Linked DNA regions of Caenorhabditis elegans. The protein of the gene in region 1 purifies or fractionates together with the protein of each later gene. This does not show direct contact. Each region holds a gene or a part of one and is shown on either strand. Other genes may lie near its edges.

Region 1 (9,791 bases):
GTCTGCAAATATGCTGTTGCGTTTTTAAGGAATGATATGGCTCGGGCTCTTCTTTGTTCCACTTCTCCCAATGCTGAATAACATAAAATTGATTATCTTGATGTACATTCGAGGATGGGCTGCAATGACGTGCAATGTTCCGGCCAGTCAAATCTTTCGTGCCAGTCGTTCGTCCAACTTTTTCTTTGCACTACTAATACTGTTCCTATTCCTCTGTACACTTCCAGTCGGATTTGTTATAGCTTCAAAAACTCCGAGTAAAAGTTGTGGTCCATTTGGGTAAGAGTTTGATAAATTAAAACTTCAAATAAGTTTAATAAAAATTCAATATTTTTACATCTGTATTTTAAAGTACATCCTTAATATAAAGAAAATTGGGCTTAGCGTATATTTTTGAAGGTTCCCAATCACATATACGAATTTCAGAAATCAATCATTCTTCTACAGTGTCATTACTGATGTTCTTCATGAAAACTTAGACAAAACCCTTGTTAATGGTATCAAGTACAGTTTGTCTCCAGGAATCATTATTCCAGTTTTAGTACTGTTGTCGTAAGTTTTAAAACATTTGTAAATTTTTAAGTAGCTAAAAATTCCAGACTGGTTATATATTTCCTCATTGCAATGGTTACCGGATTATCACAAGCTAATCAAGACCTGTCATTTCAACTTATGGTGGTATGATTTTTAAAATTGTTTTATCAAAATTTAGTCCTATTCGAAATTTGACTGTCAAATGTAATGCAATGAAACATCACACTGAACATTTCCAGGAACGGACAGAAGAGAAGAAAAAAATCTTTGAGCTTGCCGGGGGAAAGAAGAAAAAGAGCAAAGACAACACATTTGGAAAACAAAAACCAAAACAATTACTACCCCCACCAACAAAAGGAGTTTCTTCTGATGATGATTCCCAGCACAATAGATCAACTGCTAAAAGTGTATCAGGTCGCCAATTTGTACCTTCATTAGGATCAGTATCAGAAGTTGATCACAGCACCGGTGAAGAACAATCTTCTGATAGTGAATCAACAACATCGTCGCTTCCGCCAAAGTTATCTCTTCGTCAGAGGTTTTTAGTATGCATTGGCTGGGCTGATCCAAATAAATATGGGCGACATGATGATATTGAAATGGAAGAAGGTGGTGGAAGGCTTCGAGAATTATCAACTGGTTCCGAAACAGATTCAGATGATGAGGATAGCGAAAAGAGGTAGTTTTTTTTATTCATATTTGCTTTTTTTCCGGGCCATTTTTTTAAAAGTAGTTTTCTTAGAAAAAATTTGTACTCGGATTTAAGTGTCACGTAGTTCCTCTAAAAGTTAATATTTTCAGAAACTCCGAAAGCAGATATCTTCTGCCACCCGACGGTTCTCGTCCAGCATCTAGAGAACGATCAGAAAATCCAAGTAAACGAAGCTCACAAAGTAGAAGAACAAGGCAAGCATCAATTATCACAGCAATCACTATTTACAAAATAATTATTTTTCAGTAATCGTGACATGTCCTACCGTACAGCTATCCAATCATTCGATCAAAACTCACAATCCGCATCAGCGTCTTCATCAAAATCTACTACTACTGCACCGTCCAATTCTGAAATGAGAATGTAAGTTTGATTGAAGGAAGACGTTTGGTTTGAATATTGTGAGAAGTTTTCGAAACGAGCACTTTTAATTTGCAGTGAGATCACAGAAAATCCACTTCACACTTACATCACACCTTTGCGAATTGAGAAAAAGTTTGTTATTGGTTTTATAACTGCTCTTATCACCTATGTTATACATTTTAGGAGCTCTGCTAGTTCATCAAGTAGCTCGCATCAGCCATCATCTTCAATTGAGAAACAAGCTGCAAGGAGGCTTCTGCAGCCAATTAGTACAACACACAATATTCGATATGGGTAAGGAATAACAATAACTTTTGGAAACCTGTTTTCACGACTTGATATTTTCAAATATACATTTCTCATTCAGTGCCTGAAATTAGCATTTAAAAAATATTATATCACTTTCTGAGCTACAGTATTATCACTACGAGCTTCACTTTGTTCGTTCATTGTTTTGTTCTGGATTTTTTTACTGATCGTATTTTTATTTCAAATGGTTGGCAGTACGTGATCAGAGACACGAAACAGGAAAATACATCACGTTTTGTGAAAAAAGACCTTTCAGATTCGATATTAGGTTTTTGACCGGCAAAAATACTTTGGTAGCTTAAGATAATCATTATAAATATTTTCAGAGTTGCTACGGTAGAAAACTCTTCCCAAGATCCAACTCGTCCTCCATCAACAGACGATTCACTTGGCGATCCTGCACTTCATGAACCACTATGGGCAAATCTGAATCCTCACAGCAGGTAGAAATGAAAAACTATATTGAAACTTTATCAATTTACCATGATTTCAGCTACACCTCTGCAATGATGTCTCCAATTATGAATGAGGTTATGTCAAATGATGAGACAACTGATGACGAGAAAGGGCGTTTGATTCCTGATAGGTAGGAAATCAGCAATACATTTTCTAATTAAACATATCGTTACATACCTTTTGCAATGTGTTAAATTAACAACTTCAGACCACCAATCCCACATTCACCAAGAGAGTTGAAAAGACTAAAACGTGAAAAAGATCAGCAATCAGAGAGCGGAAGTAAGCCGAGTGTAAGAACAAGTTGTCGTGAATACTATTTAAAGATATTGATGTTTCAGACTCCTCGACCACCTCGGTTTAGGATATCTATGTCACCTCCACGAAAGCCGCCTTCCGAAAAGAATGTAAGTAATTGGGAATAATGAAACAAAACTAGTTGTATTCATTTATTTTCAGGACTCTGACAGTTCGAATCGCAAGTATGAAATGAGAGTCGAAAAGTCGCCGAAAAAACCAAAAAAATCGGATAATGATTAATTTTTGTTGTCTTCTAATTTCATAATTAATTACTGGGTAATGTCCTATACCTTGGCTGGTCTTTCACATTTTCTATTGTTTTATTTTTAAATTTTAAAATCGTTCATACTTGGTGGTTTTTCAATGCCAATGCATTTCCAAACATTGGCGACAGAGTCTGTGATGTACATTTTTTAAACATGATGAATAAACATTTTTCATTCATTATTTTATTTTGTCTGCAAAATATACAATAATGGAAAAAAGCAAATTGTCCTCAAAATGTTAGTTTTTCTCAAAGGCGTGTCAGCAACTACATCAGGTAGATCAATACAAACTTTGTGAAAATAATTTTCTACCCGAAATTGGCCACTTTTGTCTTTTGTACACTTTCTCCTTTTCTCCTTAACATCAAAATATTTATAGTATCAATAAACACATTCGATTTCGTTTAATATCAACTAAGTTACACATTGAATTAGCCATTTAAAGGAATATCTATCGGACAAGTGGTCTCGGTTCCTCGTAATAGTTTCCAAACTTTGTTTTGTTCATCTTCAGTCATAATAAACTCCGCATAAGTTGGCTCATCTGTGATTCCATCGATAATCACATCAAATACTATGCCATTTGCCATTGATGGTCTGTCGATAGCTGTCAGTCTTGTTGCATTGTAATCGTCCGGGTTCAGAGTATCAATGATATAATCCACAGTTTGTTCTGAAATTTTTTTGTTGACATTTTCAAATTTTTTGTCAATAATTTGTTGAACAAACACAATACACGTAAATTTTGCACAAATTAAAAGCTCACAAAAGCCCAATCAAAACATTGGAGATTACTATTATATTTAAACGTTTTGACATGTTTTTTTGATAGCCGGTTTTTGAATATCTCACCTTTGTTATACCGTTCTTCTTTACATGTTTTAAACTCAAAGTTTTCATGGAATAACTCTGGAACGTCATCGTTGTTTTCAAGTTTAATTGCTGCTCTGCTTGCGTCCAAAAACTCTTTAATTATTTCTTTATCTGGACGTATTGCATTGACAGTCGCACCAAAGAAAAGAAAGTAGCAAAAGAATAGTGGGATCATTGGATTTTTGCCTGGTTCACATAACAACTGTAGCTGCTTTTATTCGATTCGAAATGTTTTGAGAACAATACATCTTCAAACAATTGAATGATGTCATCGAAATAAATTCAGAGCTTTTGGTTCCTCTGAACACACAAAAGTTAAACTACAAACGAATCAAAAATATGTGACAGAGAGAATTCAATGCAAGTTTGTTTTAATACACGAACAAAAGCGTTCAATTTGTTCGTTTCTTCCAATTATTTTTTGACAGTTGATGAATTCGTTTTATATTACAAGTCTAGGTGTCCCTTTATTTTTTCTGACTTTCATTTGCATTTAATCATGCGTGTTTCCTCAGGTATACGTACCGTAATTTTTGTCTATAGGCGCTGCAATTTTCTCAACTTTGGCTTCTTATATCGGTTGTCTTAATGAAACATTGTCTACCTGCGCACATTTCTCCAGGTTTCCCAAACCGCCCGCCTTCAAGGATAAAATGACCGAAAAATATTATGTTTTTGTTTCAACCCTGAACAAATTAAGGCCATTTTCGTAAAATAGAGGCACAAAAACAACGTTTGATCCCAGATGGATAAGCTGAATATATGTTTTAATGTGATATTGTTATCTTTCTCCCACGTTTTTAATTATTCTAAGAACTAATCAGAAGCGATGTTAGACCACAAGATAAGTACTCAAATCTACAAGATTGGAGCGTGAGAATGTATCAAAAATCTATGTTTCGAGGTTTTGATCCAAAACATCTAAAACCATAGCATAATGTGTTCAAAACCTAATGATGTCACATATTAGCTAATAAGGATTTATTTGCGTTTGATCTAAAGGATCATCCGTTCCTAAAATTTCCGGGTTGAAAATATGCATAAATTCATTCTATGGATGATAGTCACAAATCAGAACAATCAAATTTGTATTGCTCTTATTACTTACTGAATTAAATTAATTTAATTAAGCAGAAGGGTACAATTTCGTACAAAAAGTAACATTTTTTCCAAAAAATTATGAACTTCGAAAAGTTTTCATCTGAGAAGAAGTGTGATCGGGAAATAGCCTGAAAAAATTGGCTCAAATTGGCTCCGAGTGAGGACACTTTGGGGAACCAAACAATATTTTGACTGTTATCTAATAAAAGACTATGGCTGATAAAATAAATTTCCACAGTTTCGCAAAAATGGATAAAAGACGAAAAAAGTTATGATTTTTGACACGGAACTTATTTGGAGGCCTAATAGTCCAGTTTTAACCACCTCAAAAAAATGTTAAACGTAATATATATAATATAATAACATTTTTATCAATAATATAAATCCAATAGTGATAACTTCTTGGAAGATCATCATTCTCACAAGAAAAACCCACAGGAAAATGGGATACACGTGCCTATTCAACTGAATATCCTGTCTGTACAAGAGCGTTGTTCATCTGGATAACGGAATGCCATGTTCATAGTGCCTGCTTCAAAATAATTGTTGACTGTAGTACCTCGACTAATGTACGTAGATGGGACACGTAGACTGACTGTTCGTTGACAAGGCTGAAACAAATAACTTTAAATGATCGAGCGAATTAGAAAAAGTGGATTCACAAACAAAGTGACTCAGTAATTTTGCGATATACTCAAGGAATTAAACGATAAATTTAAGTAGGCAAGAACGTCTAGAATAAAAAAATCACTGTTTTTTTTTGGTACACGATCTTATTCTATGGTTGCTATCAGGGATGGCTTCACCCGTGACCCGTTTCACCCGTTCACCCGTTTTTAGCCATTTTTACGGGTGACGGCACCCGTTTTTTTTTGCCGTTTTATGTAGTTGTTTTCACGTGTGACGAGTGACTCGCTCACCTGTTTTCACCCGGTTTTCACCCGTTTTTGGGAGTTTTCACGGGTTACGGGTGACCCGCTCGCCCGTTTTTTTGAATTTTACGGGTAAAATCCATCCTTGGTTGCTATCACAAAATACCGTTGGACAAACGGTTACCAAGAAAACTAGAAAACTCGCGTTTTAGGTCCTGTAAAGAAGTACGCCAAAAAAATAGTTCCCAGCCCTAATTACTTTAACATATATTCAATTTTATCTAGACCTTTTTATTTTATTAAAAGATTCTTGAAACTTAAATATTTTAATCCCTATCTAGTCAGAAATTTAAGTTTTCTTGAAAAATATATAAATTTCTTAGAAATTTGCATCTAGGGGTAAATAAGACTAATGCAGTTTTATTATTTTTTGTGTTCAAGTATTTCTTGGTACTTTTATTGACAAGTCTTTCGAAATAAGTGTTTTTCTTTTGAAAATATTCTTTTAAACAATACATAACAAATTTGGAACGTATGTTTTTTTTTTCTATAATGAACTTTAGTTATCTGTAAACTTTTCCTTTATTTTTCTGACATTTTTTGCCAGTTATAGAATAAAAACTTACAATAACTTTATCGTCACAATCATGAAATATTCTCAAAAAAACGCTCATTTCAAGAACGCCTCTTCCTGTTCCAATGACCACATAAGATCCTTGGTAGTCGGTTTTATTTTCGGCCAAGATGACATCGGGACCTAAAAAGTGTGGTCAGTTGAATTAAAAATTTAGTTGACATTTATTTTTAACTTTTAAATTCAAATAGTAGGAATCGAATTTTCTCTCAGAAAAAAAATATTTCAAGTACGGGAATCTATTTAATTTTTTTGCCGTCTTACATTATAATAATTCATATAGGTGACAATCTTACAGAAAAGAAGAAAATAATATGAATGAGGACCATAAAAATGACCTAAGGCTCTGAAAGTCGAATTGGAAAGTATCACATGTACTGTATGGAAAATACCTCAAAGTAAAAGGGTAAATTATATTTCCTTTATAAGGTTTTTTTTCTGTTGTTCGTTGTTGAAAATTATTTTCACAGGTGGGACTGTTAAAAAATGAAGGGATCAATTTTGAGAAAAATGCAAATATGGCTAAAAACAATTCTTAAAATTGCCATTCACAACTAAAATGTTGCATTAATTTTGTACAACCATCTTGATAAACTTACCTATATAGTTTTTCTCTATCAACCGAACTGTTGCGCCTGCCAATAACCGGTTATTACAAGATAATTTCCCTCGCACGCCTACAATTTGGTCTCGAAATGAAAATGCCAGCGGGAAAAATAAAACGAAAAGGATTTGTAGTTCCATTTTCTGAAATTGACAACTGAGTGATGAAAGGGAAGTGTAAAGAATTCCGAGCAAATAATGTTAAGACAACGGGTATTAGCAAATATCGTTACAAGTTGAGTATAAAAAATAGGAATAAGATTTTGTGTGTTTCATACATTTCAGAACTAGGCACCGATCCCTGCAATTATGATGAAATATGGAAGTCAAATAGAGAGTGGGTTAAAAAAAAAGAGAAAAAATAGAAAACATGGTGAAACGTGAACTTTGAAGTATAAGGTGTGAAATAATCTTTGATATTTTAAAAAGAAATCTCAAATCGTTAGTACTGATTCAAAATATGTATTTTCCCTTGCTTGCTTAAAAAAAATAACGCAAGGTCGTCTATATGAATGAATAAAAATCGTTAACCAAACGAATATAGATCTTTGAAAATTGATGATCTTTTGGATTCGCCAAACATTCAGAACATTTGGCATTGCGAAACAAGGCTTCAGACTGAACATAGATATGAAGACAGAAAAATCAAACTTTCAGTTGTTCAATATGTTTGTCTACGGTCTGATGATTCACCTGGCATATATGTATTTCCTGACGTTGAAAAAAATTTAGTCAACAGTAAAACCTTATAAAATTTACTGGAAACTAACTACTGCTTAAACTATTATCTAATTAAACTATTAAACTATTAACATTTTTCACATTGAAAAAGGTAGTAAATTATTTTGAAACACAGGATAAAGAGTTTGCAATAATTATACAATAATTTCAACAAATGTATGATGTACTGCCCATTTTTTTCTTTTTTTTTCAAATTTTAATTCTGTAAAATTTTAGAAAAAAATGCCCTATGATTTTACGTTCCAAGTTTAGTTCCAGTTTCTCTCATACAAAAACTTTTCTCATTAATGATCAGTTTATAGAAATAGATTAAAAACAAGTTCTCAAATATTCAATAATCATATTTATTCCGTATATACCGACGACCAAAATGTTAAAGTACAATACAAATTTGAAAAAAAAAGATCAATACAAAATTGAGATTCCGGGACAAGAATGAGAAAAATAAAACCAAAGTCAGCGGTTTTATTGACCCAAAGGATTTGCAAAGACCAGCCTTACTCTATGAATGAGTTTTTTTTTAGTCAATTTGAACTACAAAATAGATAAATACATTAAACATTCAAAAAAAATAATTAAAGATCCGTTCTGAGAACTTCGATATCACCAGTTTGATTGTTAGCCAGTTCGATACGTGTGTTTTGTCTGTGATGATTTTCCTCGTCGTCTGCTCTGAAAGTTTCTCTATTACAAAAACATGAATTTTTCCGAGGTGAACAGTTAGACATACCGGTAGGAGTATCTGCCGGAGACAATAGAGTATAGCCCCCGCTTGAACTCTCCCTGTCCACGCATTTCTCCAAAGCATGTCTGAAAAATATCGGATTATTCTCAAGTACCTTTTTTCAAAAAAAACGAAGCTTACTTGAATCTGACGCCGGAAGTTTTCGTTGTAGTACGCGTAGACTAACGGGTTGAGAAGTGTTCCTGCCATTGCGGTCCAATGGCAAAAGAAGAAGATAAAATGGCGAACGTTGTCGGGGACAGGTCGAACCTGAAATACAATTCAAATTCTTTCCACTACATCAAAAGCTCTCTCGATTTTCGGTCCTTTGCGCCCCACGTTTCACATTCGCACCCTTTCTCCCACACTCGCACAACCTATTTTGGTATTCATCAAAATCTAGATTGATCCTTTCATTTTTCTTTCACGGACACCTACACCAACATATATCAATTCAAAAATAGACATACCTGGTACACTACGATCAAATCTTGAAGAACATTTGAAAGGTCCAGTGGGAGACTGGACACGGCAAATATGACCACCATTGCCAATAAGAGAGTCTGAAGACGTTGTTTACGGCGGATGTCAGTCGATTGGGTGACTGTGCTGAAAAATAGAAAGGGTTGTTCGAGTAATTTGTAAACTTAAGAATGACTATTGAATATTCTGGATATTTTAATGCTGCCGTACACAATTGTATTTTTTCAGTTTTAAAGTTTTTAAATGCAAATTAAATATTCTTCAGTAACTTCAAACGACTTCCTTTTGCATTTATTGGCTAGACCTGAATCACTTCATCCAAAATTTTTCCGTGATATTCATTGGCCCTTAACAATGTAATTTATTTCTTATTCATTTTCCCCTTGTTCCTTATAATTCGGAATAGTAAATGATGTCATCTTTACAAAGATTCATATTCTTAACACTTCGAATTGTCTAGAAGGTGAAATAAAAAACGCGTCCCATTGTTTTCAAATGCTTTCCCAAATAACACACTTTATCTAATCGTGTTCCTTTTCATTTTCTTATTATTTCACTATGTGTTATGTAAATAATGTGGACACACGCGGAGATCGGGTCAGGGGGAAAATGAATTCAAGCTGAATAGAAATAGGCCGGAAATGAATAAAGTACAGATTTTCACTACCCCTATTATTATTCGTTCCTTGATTTATCTCGGTGTTTGTGTTTTTGGAGCTGTACATGTTTTCTCAGAAGAGGATAATTTGGCCTACATTACGATTGGGATATAAGTTCATCAAAAACAAACCTGGCACTACGTAATGTTTGGAATTTCTTC
Region 2 (14,594 bases), 6.9 Mb from region 1:
GCTCCAATCCTGGTGTGTATATAACACTGGCCACCACAATTTTTCAAAAACTTTCAGTTAAAAGTAAAGTTAGTCTCTAAGATTATTAACACTTCTCTACATTTCTATATAACTTTAAAATTTTTATATAACCAAAAATAAAATTTTGACACAACGTTGAGAAAAAGCGTATTGAAAAATTCCTCAATGTGCCGAAAAATGGGAAGTACATTTTGGATCACAGAACTTTTAAAGTTTTAAAATGGACCAACTACTCATATCAATTTACGTCTAGGAAATAATATGAGAAAATGAGAGTAATGAATGACTACAAATTAAAAGGGAGAATAGAACCGATGCACATGTTGAAAATAGCCAGGTGCACTAATGAAGTCCATATCATGTGCACAGGATATCGTGGAAAGATAACACTTTCACGTGCTGCACTATGGTAATTAACTTGAATATTCTTTATCATGTGTTGTATTCGGTTTTTATAGAAATAAAAGTAATATCCGTTTTTTTTATTCAAGTACAACGTACTGCAGCAGTGCAACTTGTCATAATAGCTCGTATAAAAAAGAAGAGGGAACATGAAAAGTTCTGGAGCCCCACCTAGCCCCCCGCTGCAAGAAACATTGCTAGTTTTGACGTGAAAGAAAATTGTCGATGGTGGTTTTCGGGGGCACCACCCAGAAATAAGGTTCCCTTTCCCCTCCTCTCTCATTCTCCATCGCCTTCTTTCCACACAGGGTCGATTTATGCGTTGCTTACTGCCGTCTTCATGTGACATTTATTCACACAAATTTGATGAATTCTACTCAAAAATTCCACGGAATCCTGATAGTAGATATCAGCTCGCCTAGATACAGGGTAACGACATGTATACACGCGTCGTGTGTACATGAGCGTCGTTGCGAAATGTTGAGAGAAAAAAAAATGAGGCACAGGAATACATGGAAACACTTTTAGATCAACAAGTTGTAACGGTTCGGGGAATTTTGAACGGATAGATTCGAAATGTGCTAAAATAAACGAATTTTGTAATGATATATCTAGAATAAAATTTTTAATTTTTTATGGCGGTTCAAAATTTTGCGCGAAAGTTCAGAAATATTTCAGCCTTTTCAAATTCGTTGGAAAATTCAGAAAATTTTTATAAACTCGTTTTAGATTCATTTTTAATACATTTGAACTGTTTTCAGTCGTTTAGGGCAAAACCTACAGAGTTCAAAATTTCGAAAAAAAAAGTCGAAACATTGAATAAAAATAATTTAACCTATCGCATTTTATGCAAAATTGAAAAAATTACTAAAAAATTCAGAAAAACTATATAAATTGGTTCAAATTTATTTATGATATATTTGAACCGTTTTCCGTTTCTTAGGGCAAAACTCCATCTATAAAAAGACTAACGGTTCGGGGTATTTTAAACATTTGTGCCCAAAATGTGCTTAAATTTCAGTGTTGAAGCTGTTCGAAATTGACTTTTTCGAATTAACACCTTGAAATACAGTGAGATAAAAGACCAAAATATGAGAAAAAATATGATGATATTTCAGAAAAAGTTAATTTCCAACCGCTTCAATACGGAAAAGTGACCGAATTTTGAACCGTCATAAATTTTGTTAGAAAAGTGTGAAAAAATAATAGTGTAAAATTGAAACGATATCAATTTTCAATTTTGTCCTCTCAATTTTGCAATTATTGTTTAATTTGGTAAAATGAAAATTTAAATAAATACTTTTCAAATTCCAAAAAAAAACACATTGCGAAAGTTAACACGGCGGTTTCACGTTTTATTTCCTTCAAAACGGGACAGGTGGAATTACGTAGTAAATTGCTAAAAAGAGAAGAAGCTCTCATCTGAAGTGAGTAGGAGCCCCTGTTGATGTGCACATCACCAACCGGATGTTTATAATCGCGTTATACGAACGCAACCACTTCACTTACTCGGCTCCATATTTACAGATTTATCTTTCAACCGAGGCGGGGTGAGCAGGGGAAAAATATATATATCATTATTAAAAACGCAGTTATACACGTATTTGATGAACCGATTGTCAAAAACAATTACAGAAAACAACGAGCCAGTAAGATGAACAGTAGGGATATTGGCAAGGGAATTGAAAATATCAGTGAGGATGTGGAGGATGTGATAATATTCTGTGATATTGCATTAGTTGCATCGACTGTCAACGGCTGTGTTTCACTACAAACGAGCTCCGTATCATTGATAAACTTTCTTGCTTCCACATCAAAAGAGTCTAAGATTTGTTCCAGTTTTTCATCGTTCTCTGAAACAAAAGTTGTGGGTAATAATTCTTTACTCTCTTTGAACTTCTGTAGCTACAAAAAAGTGCACTTACCTAAAATTGTGATTCTAAATATTGTGCATCGTGTTTGATAGAGTTCCCTTGTATAATCAACTTCTACCTGTAAATATATGTGCAATAATATATTTTCAACTTGTTCATACCTTGAATGACGGAACTCCGGCTTTGTCAGAAATCTTTTGCTGCACAGTAGACAGCGAAGTATTGGTGTAAACCACCCATCGGAAAGTTGCCTGGAAATATGCCGTATTCCCAATATAGGGGCGCTATGAGCCTAGTGGAAAATAGTCTTGCACGAACTTGCCGTGGGGTTAGACAAATTTCAAGATATTACAATACATTTTTCAATTGACAAAAATGCTTAAAAGTGTACTAACGGTTTTCGGTATTTTGAATGTATAGACTGAAAATAAGCTCAAATTAACGAATTTAGTTTTTTGAAATTTTTTATGGCGGCCCAAAATTTTGAAAAATGGTTTTATTTTGGCATCATAATCCAACATTTTTAGATAATCGAAAATTTCTAATTGCTTTTTAAATTGCAATAAATTTCCAATAATAAAAGATTTTTTCTCACGTAAAAATAGAGTATTCGAGTATAGTTTTGAGATTGTGAATATTTAAAAAAAACACTTATTTTTGTTAGAAAATAATTGGCATCTAATTACAAATTACTTTTTTTTTGTAAATAATCGAACATTTCTAAATTATTAAATTCACAATAAATGTCACGTAATAAATAAATAAATGTCCAGAAAAACTAGAATATTCAAGTATAGTTTGTAGGGTACAATTATCAAAAATTACTGTTTTTTAAAGATAACTGACATCAAAAAATCTGACATCAAAATCCAATTGATTTTTTCAGAAAATCAAAAAATTCTAAACAGTGTATAATTTTTAAATCACAATCAATGTCACATAATAAAAAAATCTTAAAAAACGAGAATATTCAACGATAGTTTTTAGGTTACAAATATCGAATTTGTCACAAATATTTTCCAGAATTGAAAAAAATAATACAAAATTTAGAATTTTTTAAATTAATTATTTTACATTCATATTTGGTATCTTGGGACTGTTTTCTGTCAATTAGGGTAGATTTATTTTATTTTTTCTTAGGGCCCCTTTTGGTTCCTTGTTTGATTTATTGTTTACCTCTGAGACTTTTTTAACTGGGTAACAGCCAATCTGGTTTGGGTTCTTGATCGATTGCAGTCTGAGTGTCTTGCCGATTACTGCAATAAAATAGACGGTAAGGCGACATCAACATTTCATGACTTTTTCACACGCTTCGAATTCCGCCTCCTATGAGTGATACACATACCTGAATAAGGGCCGGATAGCGGAAAACCCTGAGCAGTTAAATGCCAGCGGGCGTGCATTAGCAGCGGCTTTGAGCGGTTTGAAGCACTTCCGATGGGACAAAACTCATATCGCTGACTAGTGCATTCAGATTCCTGAAATTATGTGAATGCAAATGTGATTTCGGAAAAAAAAACCACTCACATCTACTTGTAGCGGATTAAAAATAACTGCAGAGCTGCAAGTTAGGTTTTGATCGCTCACAATGTCCCATGTCACTGATTCCTGAATTTGGAGGATAAATTTAAAAACTTTATGAGGGTATTCAAGTGCATTTTCATCCTTTTTTGCCATTTTTTGTAGCAAAAAATCTGAAAAAAAGGGATAAACGCACTCGGAACCCCATTATTATTTTCAAAAAAAAGTAACAAACCGGGTTGACTGTGGGGTCAATTTGATTCATGTACTTCAAAGAATAATAGATTTCAGTAGGAAATCCGGATTCCCAATTCGATTTTGTGTATTGTGTCTGAAAATTTTTTACCTTACAGTTGGAATACCTAGTCAACGGTGTTTTAATAAAAAAATTACTACAACATTTTTGGAATTGTCATTCGAAAGCTTGCAAGTGAGTGCAATTATTTTTAAGAAAAACTTTTTTACTAATTATAAGAAAAAAGTATTTTTTTTCGTGATACACTATTGAGCTCACCATTTTAATATACCCATCAAAAGGATGTCCAAGTTCAGCAAACGCGACTGTCCTTTCACTGGGCGGTTCAAAGTGTCCACAGAAAACATCCTTCCCTTCCTTGAGGAGAATTGAAGTGCCAAGCATACTCGTCACGCCGGTGACAAACCGTTCGTCAAAAATCACACTGGAATCGTTTTCGTGACTCATGAAATTTTTCTTTAGTTCTTCAACCCAAGGAAGTTTTGTGACGCCTCCTAAATTCTGTTCTCCACATGGGGGACCACTTGTGATACTCCGATCGAGAGGACGGAAATGTGCTTGAACGTCGGAGAATTTTTGCTTTTTATTAATCAGAATCTGGAAATGAAAAGCTACAACTTTTTTCAAAATTAAAATGAATCAGACCTCCGTATAATTGTTGGCCGGATATTCCAAAGCCACAAGCGAGGCGACGGTAGCCGATGAAAACGGAGCGACTCTTTTCACCATGGCATGCATTGTGAGGGCTCCGGAAGGCAAAACTGTGAGGTTTGCGCAAACTTTCATCCATTCGAGATCAATTATGGCAGACTTCATGTCTGATATGTTGAACCAGTTGAAAACTCCAGTCATTGTCACTGCTTTTTCATTTTTGCCGACCACGACGGCAGCGTTTTCAACTTTATGACAAGTTTCGCACGTTGTATGTGCACAAGATGTCGATTCAGCAGTTTTGTTGGATATCTAAACGAATAATATGTCTTCAATCTATTGAATGGATCATACCAACACAGTTGCACGCGTGGACATTTCATCAAAAATATTTCGAATTTCCCCAGTGAGCAAAATTTTGTCATCTGTATCAACGAGTACAATTCTGAAACTTTTATGATTGCTTAAAACATTTTTTTCGAAAATTTCAACCACAACTGTAATTTAAAAATAAAGCAAATTTAAGAAGTGTTTTTAGCCAAACTTAAAATTTTTGTAATGTATTTTTAGAATTAGGACAAGAACACTTGAAAGGAACAAGTTTATCGAGTAAGCTTTAGTTTTGCATCTGTGTAAGTCTCGTAGTTTTACCTTAATTTATCGGCTGTTATATAGTTCGGCGAGAAACTCGAAAAGTGTCGGCCGCGGCAAAAGAACCACTTTTTACACTAGAGGCCGGCGTGAGACGGGCAGGTTGGAGGCAGGCGTTAAGCTCTGAAACCGCGCCCGCCTCCCATGGAGGCTCTAAAACTCCGTAATTGTCACTTTTTCACTGTCAATGAAAAAATTTCAATTTTTTCCAAAAAGTTTTACTGTTTTCAGTAGTATTTAATAATTTCCCCACTTGCGCTAATCCTACTATTACCTTCCAATTACAGGGTGTATGAAGTTGGCAATTGCAGCCGGCCGAGCAAACTGTGGTCGGAGCGCATTACAAGAATTGTTCAAAACCAGACTCTGAATAATGTTATTCCAGCAATGAAATGCCACTAGACACCGGATATACCTTTAACATAATTGATTCGGATCCGAAAATATTAACCGAAGGATAATAGCTCAAATAGTTTTTATGCACAATCTCCGTCGAAATATCTAAACAATCATCCCTAATATGCAACTCTTTCGGTGGAGATTTCAATCCAATAACTGGTTCAAAATAGTGTGTCTGGCGAAGTGTGACTCCAAGAGATTTGAGTATTCTCGGTTCCACATTCACGATATCAGCGCATGCAAATATTTTGTCTTCGCGATATAAAGCCAATGATTCCAAGGTGTAGTTTTCCGGAAGTGCTGAATAAGAAATATAAGTTATGTAGTTGGTTATGATCTTTGTTTTCATCCATTATCACATTACTTTCTCAATTTCTTAGAGGAAACAGTACAGAAGACACAAGGAACTTGATACGGTTATTTTTTGGTGGACTTTTTGTGGTAACATTGAAGGAGGATTAATGGTTAGAACGCTTTTGAAAATCTAGACTTAAAATGTACCTAAATGAACGAGTTTCGTAAAGAAACTTCTCAAATATTTTTCATGCCGGTTTGAAATTCCAAAAAAATTACACTGATTTTAGCTAAAATCTCGAATTTTTCCCACTTTTCTGTGTCAGCTCGAAGTTTACTTTTGTGGAATTATCATTCTTAATGGTATATTTTGGTATATTATATCATTCAATTACGTTTATTAAAGCACATTTAAAACCAATAGGTAATCAATTTCAATGATTTTTGGCTACCTGATGGCTTTCAATGTATTGTAATAAACGGAATCAAAAGAGATAAACTACCAAAATATGCAAAGAAGATGATTATTCCGTAACAGTCAACTTCGGGCAGATGTGACACAGAAAAGTGGGCAAAATTCGTTTTTTAATTTTAGTTAAAATCAGTGTAACTTTTACGAAATTTTGAACCGGCATAAAACACTGTTGAAAAAGTTTTGAGCAGTTTTGTTACGACATTAGTTCATTTGATCACATTTTGGGTCTATTCGTTCAAAATCGTCCGAACCGTTAGTCCTCCTTTAAAAAAAATCAATAAATCTTACTGAAAACAAAAGTCGCTCTCGAGTCGACACCAACTTCACTGTAGTCTGTTAGTTTGGTAGAATCATTCAATGCTGTACAAGAATCCACAAATGCCCAAGTCATGATTTTCTTCTCCGGTTCAACGTAGTCATATTTTGGCATATACTTGAGATCAGGTACCAGGCGAACCTAAAACAAATTCCATGCATTTAAAAATCTTCAAATTTAAGCTCATACTGCATTATTTTTGATCGGAATTATATGAACATGTCCTTCAATCGGTTCCTGGTGAAACGAAGCGTGCATCAGTTCTTTGCCAGGTATGATAACTGTCGCGCAAGCCAGAACCTGCAACTATTCTTGCAAGAACTGTCCACAGCAATGATTGGTGACCCTCACCTCGCTGTTATCACCGGAAATCACCAACGTGTTGCCTGCCAGACCGTCGCCAGCGATGGTTGAATCTGTGACCGGCATGTTCTTCACGACGGGCGGACTTTTCTTTACACGCCGGCAATTATCAGTCATTACAGCCATGTCGTAAGGAGCGGATGAGGTGTGTACTGCCCATACCAAAGTATCATTTGGTTTCTCTTTAATGTCGAAACTAACAATATAAGTATCCCCATTCTCATCAGCTGGTGATATCTGAAACTTTGAAAATAAAATCGTTAAAATCGAAACTAACGGCAAAGGAAGGTCTTCAACGCATCCTTATCCCCCCACCAATCACGTGTGTGTCTTCATCTTTTTGGTCGTCACAGATTAATCACTGATTGGAAATGATGGAACATTTCACGGTTGTTAGTCTATCAGTCTATCGTAGGAGAATAGTTATGATCTTTTTAATTTGGGTCAATGTAGATCCAAGACGAGGTACTTTCAAGACGCACTAGTTTGACCTATTGTTTTTCTGTCACAGAGGTTAAAATTTAATGGACTTTTTTTTGTTGGAAAACATGTGACGTTTATTTTCTAAACCTTTCCGTTTACGACTTGTTTTGAAAAAAAATCATGGAATGTTATTGTTAGACCAAGTTGAAAATGGAGAAAGGATATCAGATTATAGTTTTTACACTGTCTAGTAGTGGGGAAAATGTTGAAAACCTATGATCCTATAGCGCCAAAACTTTTCAAAAAAATTTTGAAAATGATTTATTGACAAAAACTTTTGCCACTTTTTAAGTGTACTGTCGCTTTAATATTTGTACTGTCGCTTTAATATTTGAGCCATATTTAAGCCCAGTCGAATTTTTAGTATTGCTTCACTATACTTGAAATTGTCTGAAAACGACGAATTTCATAACGAAACTGCTTGGAAACTACTCACAAAAACGTTATCGCGGCTCAAAAAATGAAAACCTAACTCGATTGAAAAGGCAACATAATTAACTTGTAAACCCAAAATTAGAAGGTGATTTCAAAAAAAAAGGTCACATCCGCTGCGACATTCACATAACTTTTTTTTGAAAAGTTATCAAAAAGTTTCATTTTAAAATTTGGGTTTTTTCAAATAATTTCAAAAATAAAGCGATAAAAAATAATCGACTACACCATCATGATTTGAGTTCAAATTTTTTAAAAATTTCTTTCTATAAATTGAATTTTGCTCCGGGAAACGTGAAAAATACGATTGTTGATATCAATTTCTAAAACGAAAATTCTTGTTTCTCGTTCCCTTCTTGATATGATTGACAATAGAAATTGGAAACAACCTTGGAAGGATTGAAGAAACACTAGAATAAAAGGGATGATTTACACTTCGATCTTTTTTTTTTCTTTCCATTTCGACCCCAACTGAATCGAATCAACTCGCACAGTCACCCCACACGCAAGATAAGACAACTTCCTCACACACAAGGCGACACTAATACGATACTGACCGTCAAAAAGCCTTTCAGCTTTTCCCCGTATAGAAGAGTTCTGTAGGACGTTGATATTGGAGAGCATTGTACAAGAAGCTGGATAGATGCGAGAATACATGCAATAAGTATGATGAAGCGGGTAGGTGGGACAATAAGACTGTACATATTATCAGCCGCTATCCGGCTGCGTGATACACTCGGCGCCTTTGTCGAAATGTGTGGTTAGACGGTGGTGACGGCGGCGGCGGCGTCGACGACGACAGCAGCAGCAGTAGCGGGGAGAAATCGGGCAGAAATGAGAGAAGCAAAATACTAGGGCGGGAAAGAACAACCATTACTCATTACTCATCTATTCACTTTTATGTTTTGAGGCCTAGCTTTTCCAAAGAAGTGTCTCATAATTTCTGATCAATCATTTTCTGGACACATGTGACAAAGTCATGTTTGGTATGCTTTTCAATCATTCGTTATCAATGCTAATTGGATAAAACAACATTTGATTCAAAGTCTCAAGAATCCAATACGTGTTTTTTTTCGGATTTCTGATGACTTAGAAAATGCAGAGAAGTCCAAAGTGAAGTTTGTTAAGTTATCTCAAAAGCAGGACGCCCAGCTAGTTTGCACTTTTTTTTGTTGAAAAATTGTCCAGTTAGTTAAATTTACTTTCTTATTAGAGGTGGCAATATGTCTTGAGTCGAAATTCATGACATTTTTTATTTTATACCGATTTTTTGAAATTGTGGGAAGTTATGTTAGCAACCATGATTTTTATTCGACGATAGTCACAGAAAAAACCTTGCTAAAACGAAATAAAAAACTTACGAAAAAAAAGCATTTAAAAATGTGGTGCTTGTGTATTATACTCCTGTCATTTTGGAAATTTTTTTTTTATTTTATGCGTGAAATGCTTTTGTATTTTAACTTTTTTGGTTGTCAAAGAATTCTCAAAAAAAAAATTTCGTTCAAAGTTAATGATTTTTTATACAAAAATTGTCACAGATATGTCACAGATTTTTTTTACATAAAAAACATTTAAAACGTCGAAATCGAGGAGCTCAAAAAAAAAATCAAAAATTACTGAAAGAAAAAAAGTGTTTTTGAACTAATTGTTTTTATTGTATACTTACACGTTGTTGTGTATGCAGAAAAAATAAAATGTTGTGCATGCAGAAAAAAATTTAATTCTTCAATTTCATTTATATTTTGTTTATTCATCTAGTTGTAAAGGTATAATCAAATCAAAGAGAAATACAGTATAAAATGATCTTGACTAACAAACATTTAACAAACAATTATATTCATACATATGTAACACGGAACACTTAACAACTGGGGTATTACAAGTTTTGCAAGTTTAAAACTAGAAAAATAAAAGATGTATGACATTTCGGGTAATTATACATGGATGGATTGTAGTCTTGGGATTTGAGCATCCATCTACTCCATTTCGTTGTCCCACCAAACTGGAATATTATTATTTGAGAAATCGTCAAAAGAAAACATTTCTACTCACCATTTTGGAGCCGGGAGTTCACACCGGACGCTCCAAAGATACGTAGTCCCGATGGTTTCGGTTGTTTCTGAAGTCTCTGCAGCCGACGTCGTGGATGATGGGTGTGTTCTTTTTTATACTTCATGAACTTGAGCAGGCTGCGTTAGAAGTGCTCCCGGAAGATTGCGAGACTTTGCAATCGGCACTACATCTCCACTCGTTCCAGTCCTATTTGTGGTTCCATATGAATGTTGAGAAGATGACGGTTAAGTGTTGAAGAGGTCCTGAAGTGCATACTGCTGAAGTTGCACGAGAACATACCTGAAAAATTCCGATGAACTTGTTTCAAAAATCTATAAAAAATAAAACTAACCTCGGGTTGGATCAGAAGTTGAAGCTTGGCCGGTTTGTTGTGCACATTTTCGCCTTGAAACTGCTCCATTTTCATCGATATCCGGAATGAGAAGTTGATTGACAATAATATTATGAGTATCGGTTCCTTGTTTGGACAACTCCTGAATATGTCGTTCGGCTTGAAAATCGGCCATACAGATGCAGACGAATAAGGTGCAGTTCTGTAAATAAAAATTTGAATACTGTGCAGAAATTTTGATGATTTGAAATCTCTGAATCCAATGGATCAAGCTAGAAGTTGCCCTTGATATAATTGTAGAGATCCAAAAACAAGCATATTACCCAAACGCAGAATTTTGCGCACAAAATTTGATACCAGGTCTCGACAAATTTTCTATGAAAAGCAGAAGAAACGTGCGCCTTTACTGTAGATTACTGTAGTTTCAAACGTGTTGCTGCATAATTTTTTTTTTGGAATTTTTATAGTTTTTTATAAAAATGTGTTTTGCATTTAACTATTGATGAATTCTGCAGCAACGAGAGTTTGGAGTTATCGTATTCTTTAAAGGCTCATACATTTTCGCACGTAACTAACATTTTTTTATTTCCGTGCCAAGACCAGATACCGTACTTTTTGCGCCTGGGTGATATCTCTCCGTAATAATTTTAAAAAGCACTTATACATTATCTGAAAAACTAACAAGATCCTTGAACTGTGCGTTCATCCTTTCCAAATCTTTCACTGCAGCTGTCATCATCGTCTCAAGCGTTTCATCATCTTCCATTTCAAACATTCCACCGATGTTATTCAACATTGGTTCTAACATTCCTTGAAGTGAAAGAATTTTGGTAAAAAAATTATCAACAATTGTTGGGAATTGAAGAAGACGAAGAGTGTGCCCAGTTGAAGCAGTGTCGAAGACCACAACGTCGAAGCCAAGAGAATCTATCAACCTGAAAAAATACTATATTAGAAAAATCAGAATCATTGACACTAACTCTATCATTTCCCCGAAACTTATTGCCTAATCGATCCCAGGAAATCCTCCAGCAAAGCTTTGAAGAAAGTCTTTTTCCATCGAGAATCCACCGCTTCCACCTTCGTTTTGTGCAGCATTTTGGAACATTTTTTTGATATTTCCCATTTCTACGCCTTCTCCATTTGAATTTGAATCAATTTCCATCGCGAAAAGATTTTCGAATCCTTCGACCAGTGTTGGAGTTTGAATGAATTTCTGGCTAAAAGCATCCAAAATGTTGTGAGCTGGATCGACTGAGAAGAATTCTTCCACGACTTTTTGTGTTGAGTTGAGCTGCCAATGAGCAACTGAACGGCTTCTTTCCGACACCTCTCTTTCCACCCACAAAAATCCATTTAAGAGTTTTTTGTTTCAAAATATGATTGATAGAGGCTTCCAGTGGATCCGGCATTCTGTCTGGAAAAAAGTATTTATTGTATTTGTAAAAATAATCAAAATGATTTTAAAGCTATAACAAGGAACTGGAGAAATACAGAGAGAAATTAATGGATTTTTTTTTTTACTTTTTGCAGCTAAATATGAGAATGATATCACTGTACTTGAAAAATCCAAACATTTCATAAAAGATTAACAGAAAAGCAAAACAGCAAAAAATGCGATTGAAATTACAAATACGACGAAAGCGCGCAACGTGTGGCACTAGAAACGCGCCAGCAGCCACTTGACGCTCGATTGGTGCATTTCCATCGGAAGAGGCTGTGTTGCGCGTAGCTGTATATATTGCTTTATTGAGGATACTTTCAAATCAAATGAGTAATTTATGATCTTCATTGTTTTTTTTTTTGCAAATAAAATTAAAGAACATGGGCGTCACGGAGCTTATTCAATTTATTGCAGGTCTCTCTGCTCACACATCCTTTGTTTTTGTCATTTCCATCCAAATAAACGTGCCCTTCTTTACACATGCAAGCCGGTGGTCCACATCGAAGAGAGAAGCAGCTTGATACCTAGAAATAACTCAATATCTATGAACAATATTTGAAAGGGGCGTGCTTCAATGTACCGTTTGAATGTTTTGGCAACTTTTATCCGGGCAAAAGTTTGTGCATTCCTTGTAAACGGAATTCTTCGGGCATCCGGAAGAATGAACCTCTCGTTTTATCTTTCCACAACTTGCTGAAACCAGAAATATATTTTTAAAATGCCGAAAATCAATACCCAGACGCAACATTTTTCGCTAAAAATAAGGTACCCGGTCTCGACACCACATGTTTTTTTAATGCAAAAAGGTGTTGCACCTTTGAAGAGTAGTCTATCTTCAAACTCTAGAAAAACATGCACATAAAAAGTTATAGAAACACTATGAAAAATTGATGAACATTCCGCAACAAAGACAAGTGGAAACTACAGTAATCTTTAAAGGCGCACGTCTCGTGCGCAGACCGGGTACCGTATTTTGAGCGCAAATTTTCGTGTCTGGGGTATTAATAGCTTCTCACCGGTCGAAACTAAAACTGTGATGATGGAAGTGGCAAACAGAATAACATGAAAATTCATCTGAAACTTTAAATTTTTATTTATTTTCTAGACAGTCAGTAAAATAAAAAATAGAGGAGTACAGCTGACGAGGGTTTTGTTTCAACGCTGTTATAATAGTACAAATTAACAGATAGGCGCTTCCTGTTATTCACATTTTTTTTGGAAAACAGGAATAACAAGCTTGTCTAGACGAAGAACTCAAAATTTTGAAATTCCTAAATTAAACAAAATTGGCCTATTGTCTGCACTGAAAGAGCAATTTAAAACAGAAAACCTATCAAAAGTTAGAATATTTTATTTAGGGGAAAATTATAAGGCGGCAAAAAATTGGGTTACAAAATTTACAAAATGCACACTGAGTTTTCGAACGGGGACATACACTCTAGAGAAAGCTTAATGTTCAAGAAAGCACAAGCAGAGTGAGAGATTAATTGGCTTGTTTTTCTTGAAAACTGATGATGGAAATGAGGAAGAAAATAGAATTTTGGCACGTTCGATATATCAAGGTTGAACTATTTTTTAAAATAAGAAAAATGGGGATGTGTCTCATGATCGGGTACAATTTCGAAAACACACAAAGTGATTGAAGAAGGTGGAGAAAGAGAGAGAGCAGAGATGAGAGAAGTGAGAATGTTTAGAGAATCAAAAACTGACGGGACTAGTTGACGTTTTTTTTTGACAAAATGAATCAGTATTGAGACGCTTGTAGTTATTTTCTGTTCGATATACATATTTCCAGATAATGCTCCACTTTGAAATTGTTTGAAATTGTTAACTTCAACGTAGTCTTGGAAGAATGCCACGTTACGGGGGGTGAATTTCAGATATGGCGTCACCAACTGATTAAAGGTCAACTGCGGATATCTTTTGAGTTCCCACTGTAAGAACCAGGAAAAATATAATAATTTTTTTTTCACTAAAAATAGTAACTCTGGTAGTTCACTAAAAATAGTGACTCTGGCAGTTCACTAAAATTAGTAATTCTGGCAGTTCACTAAAATTAGTAATTCTGGCAGTTCACTAAAATTAGTAATTCTGGCAGTTCACTAAAATTAGTAATTCTGGCAGTTCACTAAAATTAGTAATTCTGGCAGTTCACTAAAATTAGTGACTCTGGCAGTTCACTAAAATTAGTGACTCTGGCAGTTCACTAAAAATAGTGACTCTGGCAGTTCACTAAAAATAGTAACTCTGGTAGTTCACTAAAAATAGTGACTCTGGCAGTTCACTAAAATTAGTAATTCTGGCAGTTCACTAAAATTAGTAATTCTGGCAGTTCACTAAAATTAGTAATTCTGGCAGTTCACTAAAATTAGTAATTCTGGCAGTTCACTAAAATTAGTAATTCTGGCAGTTCACTAAAATTAGTGACTCTGGCAGTTCACTAAAATTAGTGACTCTGGCAGTTCACTAAAAATAGTGACTCTGGCAGTTCACTAAAAATAGTGACTCTGGCAGTTCACTAAAATTAGTGACTCTGGCAGTTCACTAAAAATAGTGACTCTGGCAGTTCACTAAAATTAGTGACTCTGGCAGTTCACTAAAATTAGTG

What was found.
Region 2: the proteins of H29C22.1 (region 1) and F47G3.1 fractionate together in Caenorhabditis elegans (co-fractionation; one large-scale study listed by BioGRID). This does not show direct contact.

The regions. Positions count from the first base shown.
Region 1 is NC_003284.9:9,307,325-9,317,115, forward strand, and holds H29C22.1 (uncharacterized protein), read right to left. Parts: upstream 4,002-9,791; 5' UTR 3,989-4,001; coding exon 3,793-3,988; intron 3,614-3,792; coding exon 3,372-3,613; 3' UTR 3,301-3,371; downstream 1-3,300. Other genes in the region: tmc-2 (Transmembrane channel-like protein 2), read left to right, coding at 30-279, 427-552, 600-678, 774-1,213, 1,336-1,440, 1,493-1,609, 1,685-1,741, 1,793-1,903 and 5 more; ttr-38 (TransThyretin-Related family domain), read right to left, coding at 5,376-5,525, 6,413-6,543, 7,020-7,164; npr-7 (G-protein coupled receptors family 1 profile domain-containing protein), read right to left, coding at 8,340-8,448, 8,495-8,574, 8,630-8,758, 8,959-9,097, 9,762-9,791.
Region 2 is NC_003284.9:2,380,056-2,394,649, reverse strand, and holds F47G3.1 (Bravo_FIGEY domain-containing protein), read right to left. Parts: upstream 8,898-14,594; 5' UTR 8,843-8,897; coding exon 8,696-8,842; intron 7,461-8,695; coding exon 7,212-7,460; intron 7,161-7,211; coding exon 7,050-7,160; intron 7,002-7,049; coding exon 6,833-7,001; intron 6,076-6,832; coding exon 5,792-6,075; intron 5,743-5,791; coding exon 5,651-5,742; intron 5,511-5,650; exon of another isoform or gene 5,355-5,510; intron 5,171-5,354; coding exon 5,080-5,170; intron 5,038-5,079; coding exon 4,720-5,037; intron 4,672-4,719; coding exon 4,333-4,671; intron 4,150-4,332; coding exon 4,054-4,149; intron 3,906-4,053; coding exon 3,825-3,905; intron 3,776-3,824; coding exon 3,643-3,775; intron 3,554-3,642; coding exon 3,474-3,553; intron 2,549-3,473; coding exon 2,459-2,548; intron 2,416-2,458; coding exon 2,349-2,415; intron 2,277-2,348; coding exon 2,053-2,276; 3' UTR 1,763-2,052; downstream 1-1,762. Other genes in the region: F47G3.4 (TIL domain-containing protein), read right to left, coding at 12,358-12,510, 12,567-12,679, 13,003-13,060.